3 linked regions of the Drosophila melanogaster genome follow. Each later gene encodes a partner of the first gene's protein in a complex. Each region holds a gene or a part of one and is shown in the gene's direction. Other genes may lie near its edges. The genes, in order: Nup205, Nup160 and Nup58.

Region 1 (3,753 bases):
CCAAAGATTAATCATTCCGCTCTCTGCGTTTGCTTTTATTAATTCTCCTTTGACCCATCGAATGGGGGGAGTGGTAAAGTTTTAAGTTTCTATATTATCAAACTATAGGAAACTATATCCATGATACTAGTTGGGCAGTCTCAACTTTGGAGTACCGAATTTGAAGTCTTTTGATCACCTAGCACTGCATAACTAGGTTATTTTCATAGCCAAGGAGTAAAGTATACTGAATACACTCGAAAAAAAAAACACTAATAGAGAATTATAGTTAATACAATTACCAACCATATGTGAGTCTACCATTTGCACCGTTCTTACTATAATTTGAAGAAGCTGTACTTTAAAGGTATAGTTCAGTTTCTTCCTGTGTACTCTGTCCTATGACTTCTTTTTTTTTTGTGTGTGGGAGCGAATTATGAAGTACAGAGGAAATGGTCGAGCAACACAAACGCACACACACATTTGGAGAAACTTGGGAGATACTTACATTTGTTATTGTTGCTGCTTCCTCGAGGCTGTGCTGTTGTTGTTGCCGCTGCTGCTGGTGGTGTTGTTGTTGTAGCTGTTGCTGGAGTAAGTGCAGTTGTTGCTGTTGTAGTTGTTGTTGCTGATGTGCCGCAATACCACCACAATCCATAGTAATTACGGGTGCGAGGGGGCGGGGTTAAGTGTGTGTGGGAGTGGAGTGGAGTCGTCAATTGGGAGCGCACTCTCTATCTCTCTCTCTCTCTCTCCAAATCTCGCTCTCTGTATTGCTGCTCCTTCGCGCGATCGCTTACTGCAGCGGAATGAAAAGCGAAACAGACATAATTGAAGAAATGCGATAGCTCTCCGTCTTGAATTTCAACGATTCGCCGTAAGGGAGCGCTGTTAACCGCTATTTCAGTCACTGTTTGTGTCTTGTTCCTTTTTTTTATTTTTTTTTATTTTCAGCTAACTCTGCAGTTTGCCTTTGTCCATATTTTCGGTGGAAAAACCACTTCCTTGCTCTCTCGCTCTGGCTCCCTTGCTCTTCTATACCGCTCTCTCTCTCGCTCGCCAGGCGTTGCGTGGGCGAACGTAGGGGAGAGAGCAAGCGAAACGAAAAGAGAGAGGCGAACGCAGTTTGGAGTTTTATGCACTGGAGTTGTGAGTATGTTCGTGTGTGCCTGTGTGACTGCTACCCCCACACACTTGCACTGCCTCTCTTCCTCTCTGTCGCTCTCGCACACCCAGTACCAAGTACTCTGAACTCCAACTCCAGTTACAAATTCAATTCCAATTCGAATAATTCCCAATGAAATTTGAATTTTCCTTCCAATTGCACTGGCTTTGGCAGTTAGTATCCCTTTTGGCATTTATTGCAGCCGAACTGCGCCGATTGCATTTGCATTTACACTTCTACATCCACTTCCACATCCACTTGCATCGACAGCCAGAACCAGCATCCCACTATGGTGCAGTTCAGCCTGCCCGCGGCCATCGGTGATTCACTCACAATGCGAACAGGACACCACTTGGGCAGTGCGTTCGCTGGCCAAATCAAGTGGCGGAGAACAGAAAAAAAAAAAAACGCGAATCGGAACAAAACAAATGGATGCTACTATCGGGTAACTACGAAAAGTCCGTGCGTAGATTTTCACGAAAACGCCCCGCCCGCGCCGCACTGAAGTTGTGTTAGTTAGTGGTGCGACAACGCACCGATGCAGCGCCTCGATTATCGTTCGATAAGCATCGATTTTCCGATTGACTTGGTTCGAATCAACCGTTTAGCCAGCGCAGCAACCGCAGTTAGCGGGCACAAGCACCGAAGCGCGTACGAGCGTGGTGAGTTCGTACGGTGGTGAACATCTGTGTTTTCCAGTATTTGCAGCACCCAGCCCTGGTAACCGGCGCCTTGTCGCAAAGCGAAGCAATCTTGCCGCGTTTTATAGTCAATAACTGCGAATCAGCAAGAACTGCGTGAACTGAGCGAACCGCAAAACCAAGTGAAATGGATGGTGAGTGCCTGGCCAACGAGCAGATGTGCGTGGGTCGCCAAATCACTAATGCCACCCATGCGTCCACAGCTGTAATCGAGGACATGTGGACGCCGTACAAGCATTTGTACAACACTTTTCAGACCGCGGTGTCCAATCGCAGTGGCTTCACCTCGGATCTGGAGCAGTGCCTCAAGAAGTACAAGCACAACTTCAGCAACTTGCTGCGCAATCCGGTGGGTATAGCAAAACAAGCGCTTGCAGATCCGTAGATTTAACTAATTATTGATAATCCATTATTGAAAATGTCGGCAGCCGAGAAGCGAGAAGAGCCGCAATCTCCTACGAAATGCCCTCAACGAAGGCGTCCCGATGCAGGGGCATTCGCGAAAGACAAAGATGTCACAGGACCTGGCCGACGAGGCGGTCATTCTGTCCGACATGTTCGATCTGGACGAGGGTTTCGCCGTGGAGCTGCTGTGCACCGCACAGCGCCAGCAGAAGCATCATCCCGGCCTGTCCAGAGGCCTTGTCGCGGTGCTGCTCTACTACGATGGACGAAAGGCCATCAGCTGCACGCTTCGCGACATGTTCCAGGTGGTTAGCGGCGTCTCGTGGAACACCGAACTGCCCAAGGAGGTAAGTTTCGAGATTTCGACATCGCAGGCATCGCAGTGCCGCTGAAAGAGAGATTCACTGACCCTGATTATCGTTCTACGCACGCAGATCACCGGTCTGGTCACTAACTATGCCGAGAGCCTTGTCGACGGCTCTGGGATACTGGGACGCCTGCTGCAGCTGCTCGAGGAGATGGATGTCGACAAGGAGGTGGGTTTGTATGCGCCTGTTTCTGAAATTCTCTGAAATTGCATATCTTCCTTCGCAAATTGTTATTCATTTGTTGTCCAACGTTCGCAGTGCGCTATGCTGACCACAAACCGCGCGTTTGGCTCCAAGAAGCATCAGAACCAGGTGCTCGGCCTATACGAGGACATTCAACAGGCATTGGCAATGGCCCTGTTCAATTGGTCGGCACAACGCGGCCTGCCGCGACACATTGCCATTCGGCTGATGCACCAATTGGCCAACCGAAAGAACCACGACGCGGGCGGCAACATGGACGACGTGACCCTGATCATGCTGATGGCTCTGCTGTATGCGTACGATACCTCCATGCTGCTGGTCACCGAGGAACCCAATGAGCACACAACCCGACTTCCGATCTTCAGCGATCGCGAGTTCGCCGAGTGCTTCCTGGAGGAGCTGTACGCGCAGAGCAGCTGGCAAGCACCGCGCCTGAATGCCATCATTGCCTACAGCTTCGGACTAACGCTGGCCAGCCTGCGGCATGCACCTTTGCAGCTTCAGGCCACCGCCATCTCGATCATCAATCGCGATGAGATGCTCATCGACGAGGCACTGGGAGCGCAGGTATTCGTCTTCTTCCACAGCTTGCTGCTCGAGAAGGATCTGGTCTATAGGTGAGTACTGACAACTGAAGTGTCAATTGCCGATTCGCAAGCTAATCATCATTTGTGCTGACAGCACGCAGTTCTTCTACCGCCGCGTCCATCTGCTCATCACGGACTTCATCGACTTCATGAACTCCAAGGTGTCGGAGCTGCGCGGCCGAGCAGACGAGTCGTCACACACGATCATCAGCTTCCTAAACGAGGGTCTGGAACCGCCGCCCAACTTGGACTCCAACTTTGAGCTGCTCATGCTGTGCGTGGCCAAGATGCACGGCGATCCGCGCGTCACCATCAGGCTGTGCAACGAGTACTGGGGCCCCGGC
Region 2 (3,753 bases), on another chromosome or scaffold:
TGGCCGTGGTTCTTCTGCTGCTGGTCTGCGACTGACAATAGGAAGGAACTTATGTTTTTGAGCTGGCCGGAACTGGGGACTCTACGACGACAACTACGACAGGGCCAACTACCCGTCGGCTGTTCACTTGCAGCGCATATTGGTCGTATTCCCCCTCGATTTAATTTGAATATTAACCGGGCTTCGAACCACCGAAACAAACCGACTGCGTTTCCCATCGACCAAACAATGATTGGTTGTTTGGATCCCCCAGGACTCGCTAAGCTCCCTGCCCACCGATCCACCTGTAACTTTTCCTATGCATTTGCATTTCTTCGGCAAGACAAGACACGGTGGCCTAGTCCCGGAGCAGCTCATTGCTCCAGGCTGCCTGCTCCCGCTCCTCTGATTGAATTAGTCGCGGCTCCTGCACGCGAAACGAACTTCCATTTGCTATTTGCATAGGAATAGTCATCCATCAACAACAGCTCCCAGCGACATTGATTGGCAACGGGCTACGGGTTTTTACGCCTCTGACGCCTGAGCCTTTACAACCATCTATTTGCCTTTATGATTATATATTTTTTTTTTTGGGAACACGTGCAATTGCATGTTATTGAAATTCGGATTACTTGGAATAAGTACCTGTCGTTTACCCTAAAAGTTTTTATGTTGCCAACCTATAAAGTGCATGTGCCTGCATATATTTAGATTACCTTGTGTTTATGAATTATTTTAAACATAAAATATGTTTTGTTAAGTTGCTAGAACAAATTACCGCACAATTTCTTTAATCTATTCCCATGACTTTCGAATCTATAGAGATACTTTTAAAAACAGCAATTGCATGACGATCCAATATTAAATTCTAATCTCTTGTTGAATCATTATAACAAACCAATCATGAATAAATAACAAATATAAGATACGTATCAATCATAAAAGCTAAACTATGGAAACCAGCTTGTTTTGAACTTTTACAACTTAATTATAGATTTATTTAATGATTTGAAATAATGTAAACTGTCAAATAGCTACTTATCAACGTTGCTATGGAAATAAAATGCTAACATAAACCTGTATCCATATTCAGCGTCCTCTGGTTGCCAAGACATATAATTATTTGGCTAATAATCACTTACTAAAACATTTTTAGTTCCACAAATGAATTTAAGCTTCTGATTAACATGCGATTGACCTTATTTCACAGCATTTATTGAACTCTCAGGCAGAACTTTAGCCACTTTCCGTGGCTCCTTGATCGTGGTCTGGGGGCACTGCATCTCGCTCCAGCCGACCGGCACCATGGGCACCCGGGTCTTCCGGTAATCACTGGCATAGGCGATGACCACGCCGAGTTCATTTTCGGCGGTGGTCAGGAGGAAGGACTGCTCCAGTTGGTTAATGACCCTCGCCAGGATGACATCGCCCGGCCGGAAGGACTTGTAGATATCGACGCGATCTTTTTCGGTCTCCCGGACATCCTCCTTGCGCAGAAGTCCGCGGTAGCTGCTTTCCAGCAGCACATTTCGTACGCAGAAAATGGCGCACTTGGCGAATTTTGGAGTTGTGACGAGAACTCTGGCTGTGACCACGTCTCCGGTGGCTGGGATGGTTAGATGAAATCCGGGCTTATGCACACTAACCACCTGGCACTGAAATGGAGATTAATTGGTTCCCAGAGTCAACGAAATGCCAGGATTACTTACTTTATCACCCGAATCTTCGATGTTGACAATTCCAGACTTGGAGGCGTAAATGTAGCCATTCTGCTCGTAGGTGCCTATGCCCAGGACTATGCTGTCCTCGGTTCTGCAGAGTCGCTCCCCGGGCAGGCAGACTACAGTCTCATCCTGCTGTTCACTCATTTTTAGGCCAGAGACAGTTTTTATTTTAAAAAATAAACTAAATAATAAAGCCGCATCAACAAATGGAAACACACGTGCAATGCAGTGTGACCAATATGTGGCAATTGTTAAAATGCTAGCGACAACTTTCTTAATATCACAAGATTTAAAGGCATCTTATATCATTCCTGCTTTGCTATAATAAACTTTATTGTCATGAAATTACATTTAGGAAAATGTACAATTTTTAACTAACTTCTGTAATTAACTTTTGTATGTGAGTATAAAAAGCTATGTCGACTATTTTGCCTGGTGTGCACCGCTGGCGTAAGCGTTTTCCAACACTACTACTGAGCGTGTTTACGCCGGTGCCGCCAATAATTTTCCGTTTTCGTTGAGGTTTTTATATTAATTTGTTGTGCTAGCAAGATGCCCACATCCAAACTGCAAGCCAACATGAGCTACCGCGAGGTCATACCGCGGAACCTCAGTCCGGCGGAGTGGATCGAGGTGAAAATTAACACGGGTGAGTTTCGTGCAAGATTGCCAGAGAAATTCTGAGTAACCAAATGCTCCTCCGCAAAATGTAGGAACCCAGAGCACTTTGCAGGATTTAAAAACCTTCGAAACCTCCGGCGGCTATTGCTACAAGAATACGAAAAATGTTCAGACCAGAAACCGTTTCATATATTGGTAAGTGCAAATCAGAATCGTTAAATTAGTTTCACATGGCCACTGATTTGCAGGCGGACATACCAGGATGTCCTGGAACTATCAGAGGTTAGTTTGGACATCTCCCTGCAGAGGAATCACCTGCGTCTGCGATTCACCGACTCCGCTGTGCTGAATGTATCACTCACGGAGCAAGGTACATCCGTCACCCTGCTGGTGGTCACGGTCAGCAGTGTGCATCGCTATGTGTTTCCCTTGAAGGTCGCTGGGCAGGAAGGTGGCGCAGCTTCTCCAGAGGATCTGCTATCCCAGTCCATTTTCTACGACGTCAATGACAAGATCAATGATCCCAGCACTTACTATGTCACGGATGGCTTTGGAACTATGCCCAACGCGGCTGTATCGTACCTCACTCAAGACTCCCAGTCAGCCTACTTTGCGGTGGCGTATCAGAGCAAACTACTGCTTCACGTTATGAAATGCTCCACCGGCCATACTATCACCCACGAAATCAAGGAGCCGAAGCTAATGCCATGGTTTCTGTCGAATCTCAAGGGTGCCCTCACGTAAGTGGATAAACCTCGATAAATGGCAAATCCCTAATGTTTCATTAATCATTGTAGCGGCCGCTCTGAAACGTTGGAGGCAGCCACGTCCATGGCTTTCAGTGAAATCGGGGGGGAAATTTTCATTCTGGTTCTGTATCGCAATAATGAGCTGCGTCTATGGTCAGTGGATAACTTGCAGACTGTAGCCAGCATTAACTGCTCCACCGAACTGGGACAGGACTCAGCAGCTCAAGGACGTGAGTATAAAATATTATTACGATTTAGATTTATGATCTAGATATAATGGGATTATATTCTTTTTTTTAACAGCACAAAACAGCCAGCTCCGAAAAATAAGCGATCAAAACTTCTGTCTATTTCTCTCGCACAATTCCCGAGCTGAGTTTATATGCGTTAGCATAATGCCCGATGCCGACGATGCCAGCGTTATCAATTTGGTGCAGAACATGGTGCCGGCGCCGCAAACGGATTTGGTCGACTTCGATGCCACATCCTCGCACATCTGGGCCCTTTGGAGCAACGCTGAAGGCGATTTCCATGTCTCGGCAGCATATTTTGCCTCCAACAACGCAATCAAATGGGTTTCGGCTGCTCTAGAACCGCCACCGGATCGGTATTGTCTCACCATGGAGCAGGGAGTGGATCCACGCGAAACTTACTGCAGCTATATATTTCATCCTGGTCGA
Region 3 (3,753 bases), on another chromosome or scaffold:
AACAATGATAATACAATCCCGCGCGAGTGGGAGGCAAACTAATATGCTCGCTTTTTTCTACATGGAACAACAACGAATTTTCACTTTAATGTATGGAATAATAATACAGCAGTGTTTCCAGTTAGATTAACCACTATTATTACGGGTCTAAATTATGGATTAGAGTTGAACGTGGACATTGAATTTACAGCGCACAGTTTGGGGGGCCACCTCTTTACTTGTGGTTGTAGTTTTTGTGCACCTCGGGCGAGATGTTGTACACGTACTGCAGGATCTCCAGGATGAACGGGTCCTTGCGGGTCTGGATGGCCCGGTCCATGTCGGCCAGCTTAACGCGGATATCCGCATCGATCTTGGCCGCCACGCCCTCGCGACTGCCCATGTGCTGTAATCGGGGTTCACACGGTATTACATGTACATAAGTTTCCCTATGTGGCGTCTTACCTTGGCCTCGAACTCCTTGAAGGCGCGCTCGCGCTCCTGGCGGAACTTCTCGATCTCCTCGGTAGCCTCGTCCTTGGCTTGCTTCAACCTCCTTGCCTTGCCTGCGGGATTACCCAGAAATCCAGATGATCATATCAGTTCAACTTGGCAAATCAGCCCTCCGCAAGATGACCTTCCATAACTTAAAGTGCCAACTCGCACAAAAACTATTTACTGCACTTAAGTTGCAGTCTTAGTGGCCACAAACAATTTTAATTTAATTTAATTTAATTTAATTTAGTTTAATTTGATTTATATCTCGAGTTATGGAGGATTGACTTGTATTTACTTTTTTCCACCACATCATGTGACCCACACACAACGGTGATGGTGGTTATGGTAGCACGGGGGCGGGGTGGTGAAAAAATCGCAGTTACTTGTCGCCCTGCCATTTCCAATTGGATTTTTGTTTCTGAAAATGAAACTTACGTTTACGAGCCTCGGCGACCTTCTCGGCTGCCTTTTTCTCGGCAGCGAGCAACTGCTGGATTCCCTGCGTCTGGCTGGCCATAATTTCCAAACTTCTCTAATTCCTCGCCGTGGTGTATACTGTGCAAGTCGAAAAAAGCAAGTGCGACAGAATCACAATCGACGACGAACTGTGAAAAATGTCATATGACGAAGTCACACACACGCAAACTCACCACGGTGGCTAGTTGGTGTGGGTAAGCAGTGTGCCGGAAAGCTGGGTGCTGCGAAACTCTTGGAGATGGCTCGGTCGATTGCATATCGATTAGCTTAGTTGTATATTATTGTTTGGTATTGTATTGGCCAGAAGTATTAAATAATTTGACGTTTTTGTAAGCATTAACTTTCTCATTTATTCCCATCATGAATATTTTTCTTTTATAATTTTGTAAACTTTAATTCATTTTAATTTAAATGCAGCGTTTAATCTGCTTCGCACTGTAATAGTTCCGGCTGTATTTAAAGCTATTGTAAGAAATTAGTTCGTAAAAAATTCTTTATATTATTTTAAAATTGAAATACATAAAGATTAAATTTTGAAATAATTTATTCATATTAATATCTGAAGGCTATCGTTTGATATTAAATAACAACCATGTTGTAGTGGACCGAACTCACCACACCTCAGACCAAAATTAAATATTTGAAAATCACAAATCGTAACTATATGAAGCTGCAAATACTTTATATATCTTTAGCCATAGTGTATTTATTTCAATCAATTTGAATACTTTGTTGATATTTTTCCGAATAAATCTCTGCTGACTAGCTATCGATATCACCGATAGTGTCATCTCTGTCCTAGAAGTTAAACCACAGATGCTCAGGCATTAAACAAAATTAATTTCGAAATTTGTTGCAGTAAATATAGTTTAATTGTTTAAAATTCCTGTATAAATCCTTAAGAGGGGTGCCTAAAGATGTTTACGCCCACCACGAACAACGCCATTGGAGGCGCCACTGCTGCTACCGGCGCTTTTGCTTTTGGCGCGCGACCGGCGACGACGACTGCTCCGCCTCCATCCTTTGGAGCAGCCACCTCTACGCCAACCTTCGGTGCTGCTCCGGCCACCACCTCCTTGTTTGCAGCTCCCGCGGCCACACCGGCCTTTGGGGCACCAGCTGCTACGCCGGCTTTTGGAGCACCTGCGTCCACGCCTGGTTTTGGCGCCACTTCCACTGCGGCGCCGGCTTTTGGAACGGCTGCTGCCACGCCCGCTTTTGGCATACCAGCAGCAACGTCGGCTTTTGGAGCTCCAGCTGCTACGCCCGCTTTTGGAGCTGCAGCTGCCACTCCCGCTTTCGGAGCACCCGCCGCCACGCCCGCTTTTGGAGCACCCGCCGCTACATCCGCCTTTGGAGCACCAGCAGCCACAACGGCGTTTGGAGCGCCAGCTTCCACGCAAGCATCGGCCTTCGGAGCACCTGCACCAGCCGTGGGCACTGTGGCTCCCACTTTCTCCTTTGCCACCCCGGCCACAAGTGCGCCGACCACCGCGCCGCCGGCCTTTGGATTCGGCACCACCGCCACAACGGCGGCAGCTGCGATGCCAGCATCCCTCAGCTCCGGAATTGGATCGTTTTCCTTCCCCAAGCCACAGGCCACCACGGCGGCCAGCTTGAACTTTAACACAACCACGACGACGGCGACGGCACAACCCTTCAACACGGGTCTGAAACTGGGAACCACCAATGCGACGACAACCCTAGGAGGAGGAGGAATCTTTAGCAAGCCAGCGGGTCAGGCAGCTGCCCCGGCAGCATCGACTTTCGTGGGTCTGGGGGGGATCGATGTGACCGCCACGCAACCAAAGCTGGGGGACAATAAGCAAGATGGCATCAAGGTGCTGACCATGAGTCTTTCACAGAGAAACAAAATAATCATTTTATTTTCGACCACTCCAGATTAAGGAAACCCAAGTGCCCGACGAGATAATAAAAACGGTGGATGGCCTAAAAGCGTATATCAAACAGCAGAAGACCATCTCCTCTGACATTGGACGGACATCCACCTCCAAATTCACGAATGTCAGCCACGAGATCACGAACTTGAAATGGGCGCTGCAGAATATGGCCACTTTAGTTGAGGGCAGCAATCAGCAGATCCGCCTGATGCGCCAAGAGACCGTCAAGGCGATTCAATCTCTGGAGATGGCCCAACGCACGCAGGACACCCCAGCCGGCCTGCAGTTCGAGAACAATGCTCCGTTCCAGTACTTTCAGTGCCTGGTGGCGAAGTACGAGCAGGATTTGATCGCCTTTCGCCAGCAGATCGCTCTGACCGAGCGCCACATGCACGCGATCTCGAATCCGCAGAGTATTTCGCCGGATGATCTAAAGCGTGGCTTTCGCCAACTTAATGAGAGTTTCATCTCGCTGGCGGGACGCCTCCACGAGGTGCATCAGCGGGTGGAGGAGCACAAGGAGCACTACCTAAACCTCAGACGCTACCGCCTGCGAGACACCACCAACGTTTTCGAGCGGATTGACAATCCTCCGCTGCCGACGGTGGAACCTCAACGGATTAGTAGCGGTCCAACGCCCTTCTCCAACATCTCGGCTCTGATGAACAAGTCCTATGCAGCGGCGGCCAGTTCCGCCAGCAATGCGACAGGCAATTGAGAATGGCACTCTTTACAAGTTTCAATAAATCGTTATGTCGAAAGGGGCCTAGACTTTCACTTTCAGTTATAGCATAGAATATATATTTCACACGCAACAATCTTTATTTCTTCACCACCTGGATGACGTCCTCGTCGGCCATCACATGGGCAATCCCCACGCGCTGCGGCGAGTATTTCG

Evidence for each region.
Region 2: Nup205 (region 1) and Nup160 share a complex: the UniProt entries of both Drosophila melanogaster proteins name them as parts of the nuclear pore complex.
Region 3: Nup205 (region 1) and Nup58 share a complex: the UniProt entries of both Drosophila melanogaster proteins name them as parts of the nuclear pore complex.

What each region holds. Positions count from the first base shown.
Region 1 is NC_004354.4:19,850,376-19,854,128, forward strand, and holds the start of Nup205 (nucleoporin 205kD), read left to right. Parts: upstream 1-1,838; 5' UTR 1,839-1,972; coding exon 1,973-2,194; intron 2,195-2,273; coding exon 2,274-2,597; intron 2,598-2,684; coding exon 2,685-2,786; intron 2,787-2,876; coding exon 2,877-3,439; intron 3,440-3,503; coding exon 3,504-3,753. Other genes in the region: pico, read right to left, coding at 488-637. UniProt on the Drosophila melanogaster protein: Plays a role in the nuclear pore complex (NPC) assembly and maintenance, but with limited role in NPC permeability. Required for specific nuclear import pathways such as Mad import.
Region 2 is NT_033779.5:11,121,624-11,125,376, forward strand, and holds the start of Nup160 (nucleoporin 160kD), read left to right. Parts: upstream 1-2,153; 5' UTR 2,154-2,255; coding exon 2,256-2,352; intron 2,353-2,416; coding exon 2,417-2,519; intron 2,520-2,572; coding exon 2,573-3,064; intron 3,065-3,121; coding exon 3,122-3,303; intron 3,304-3,376; coding exon 3,377-3,753. Other genes in the region: Csl4, read right to left, coding at 1,179-1,634, 1,689-1,847. UniProt on the Drosophila melanogaster protein: Functions as a component of the nuclear pore complex (NPC). Involved in poly(A)+ RNA transport. Required for nuclear import of Mad. May play a role in double strand break DNA repair. Essential for nephrocyte development.
Region 3 is NT_033777.3:19,643,294-19,647,046, forward strand, and holds Nup58 (nucleoporin 58kD), read left to right. Parts: upstream 1-1,732; 5' UTR 1,733-1,871; coding exon 1,872-2,795; intron 2,796-2,856; coding exon 2,857-3,573; 3' UTR 3,574-3,613; downstream 3,614-3,753. Other genes in the region: Vha13 (vacuolar H[+] ATPase 13kD subunit), read right to left, coding at 215-385, 445-545, 913-994; CG6195 (uncharacterized protein), read right to left, coding at 3,677-3,753. UniProt on the Drosophila melanogaster protein: Component of the nuclear pore complex, a complex required for the trafficking across the nuclear membrane. Together with Nup54, required for transposable element silencing regulation in ovarian follicle cells.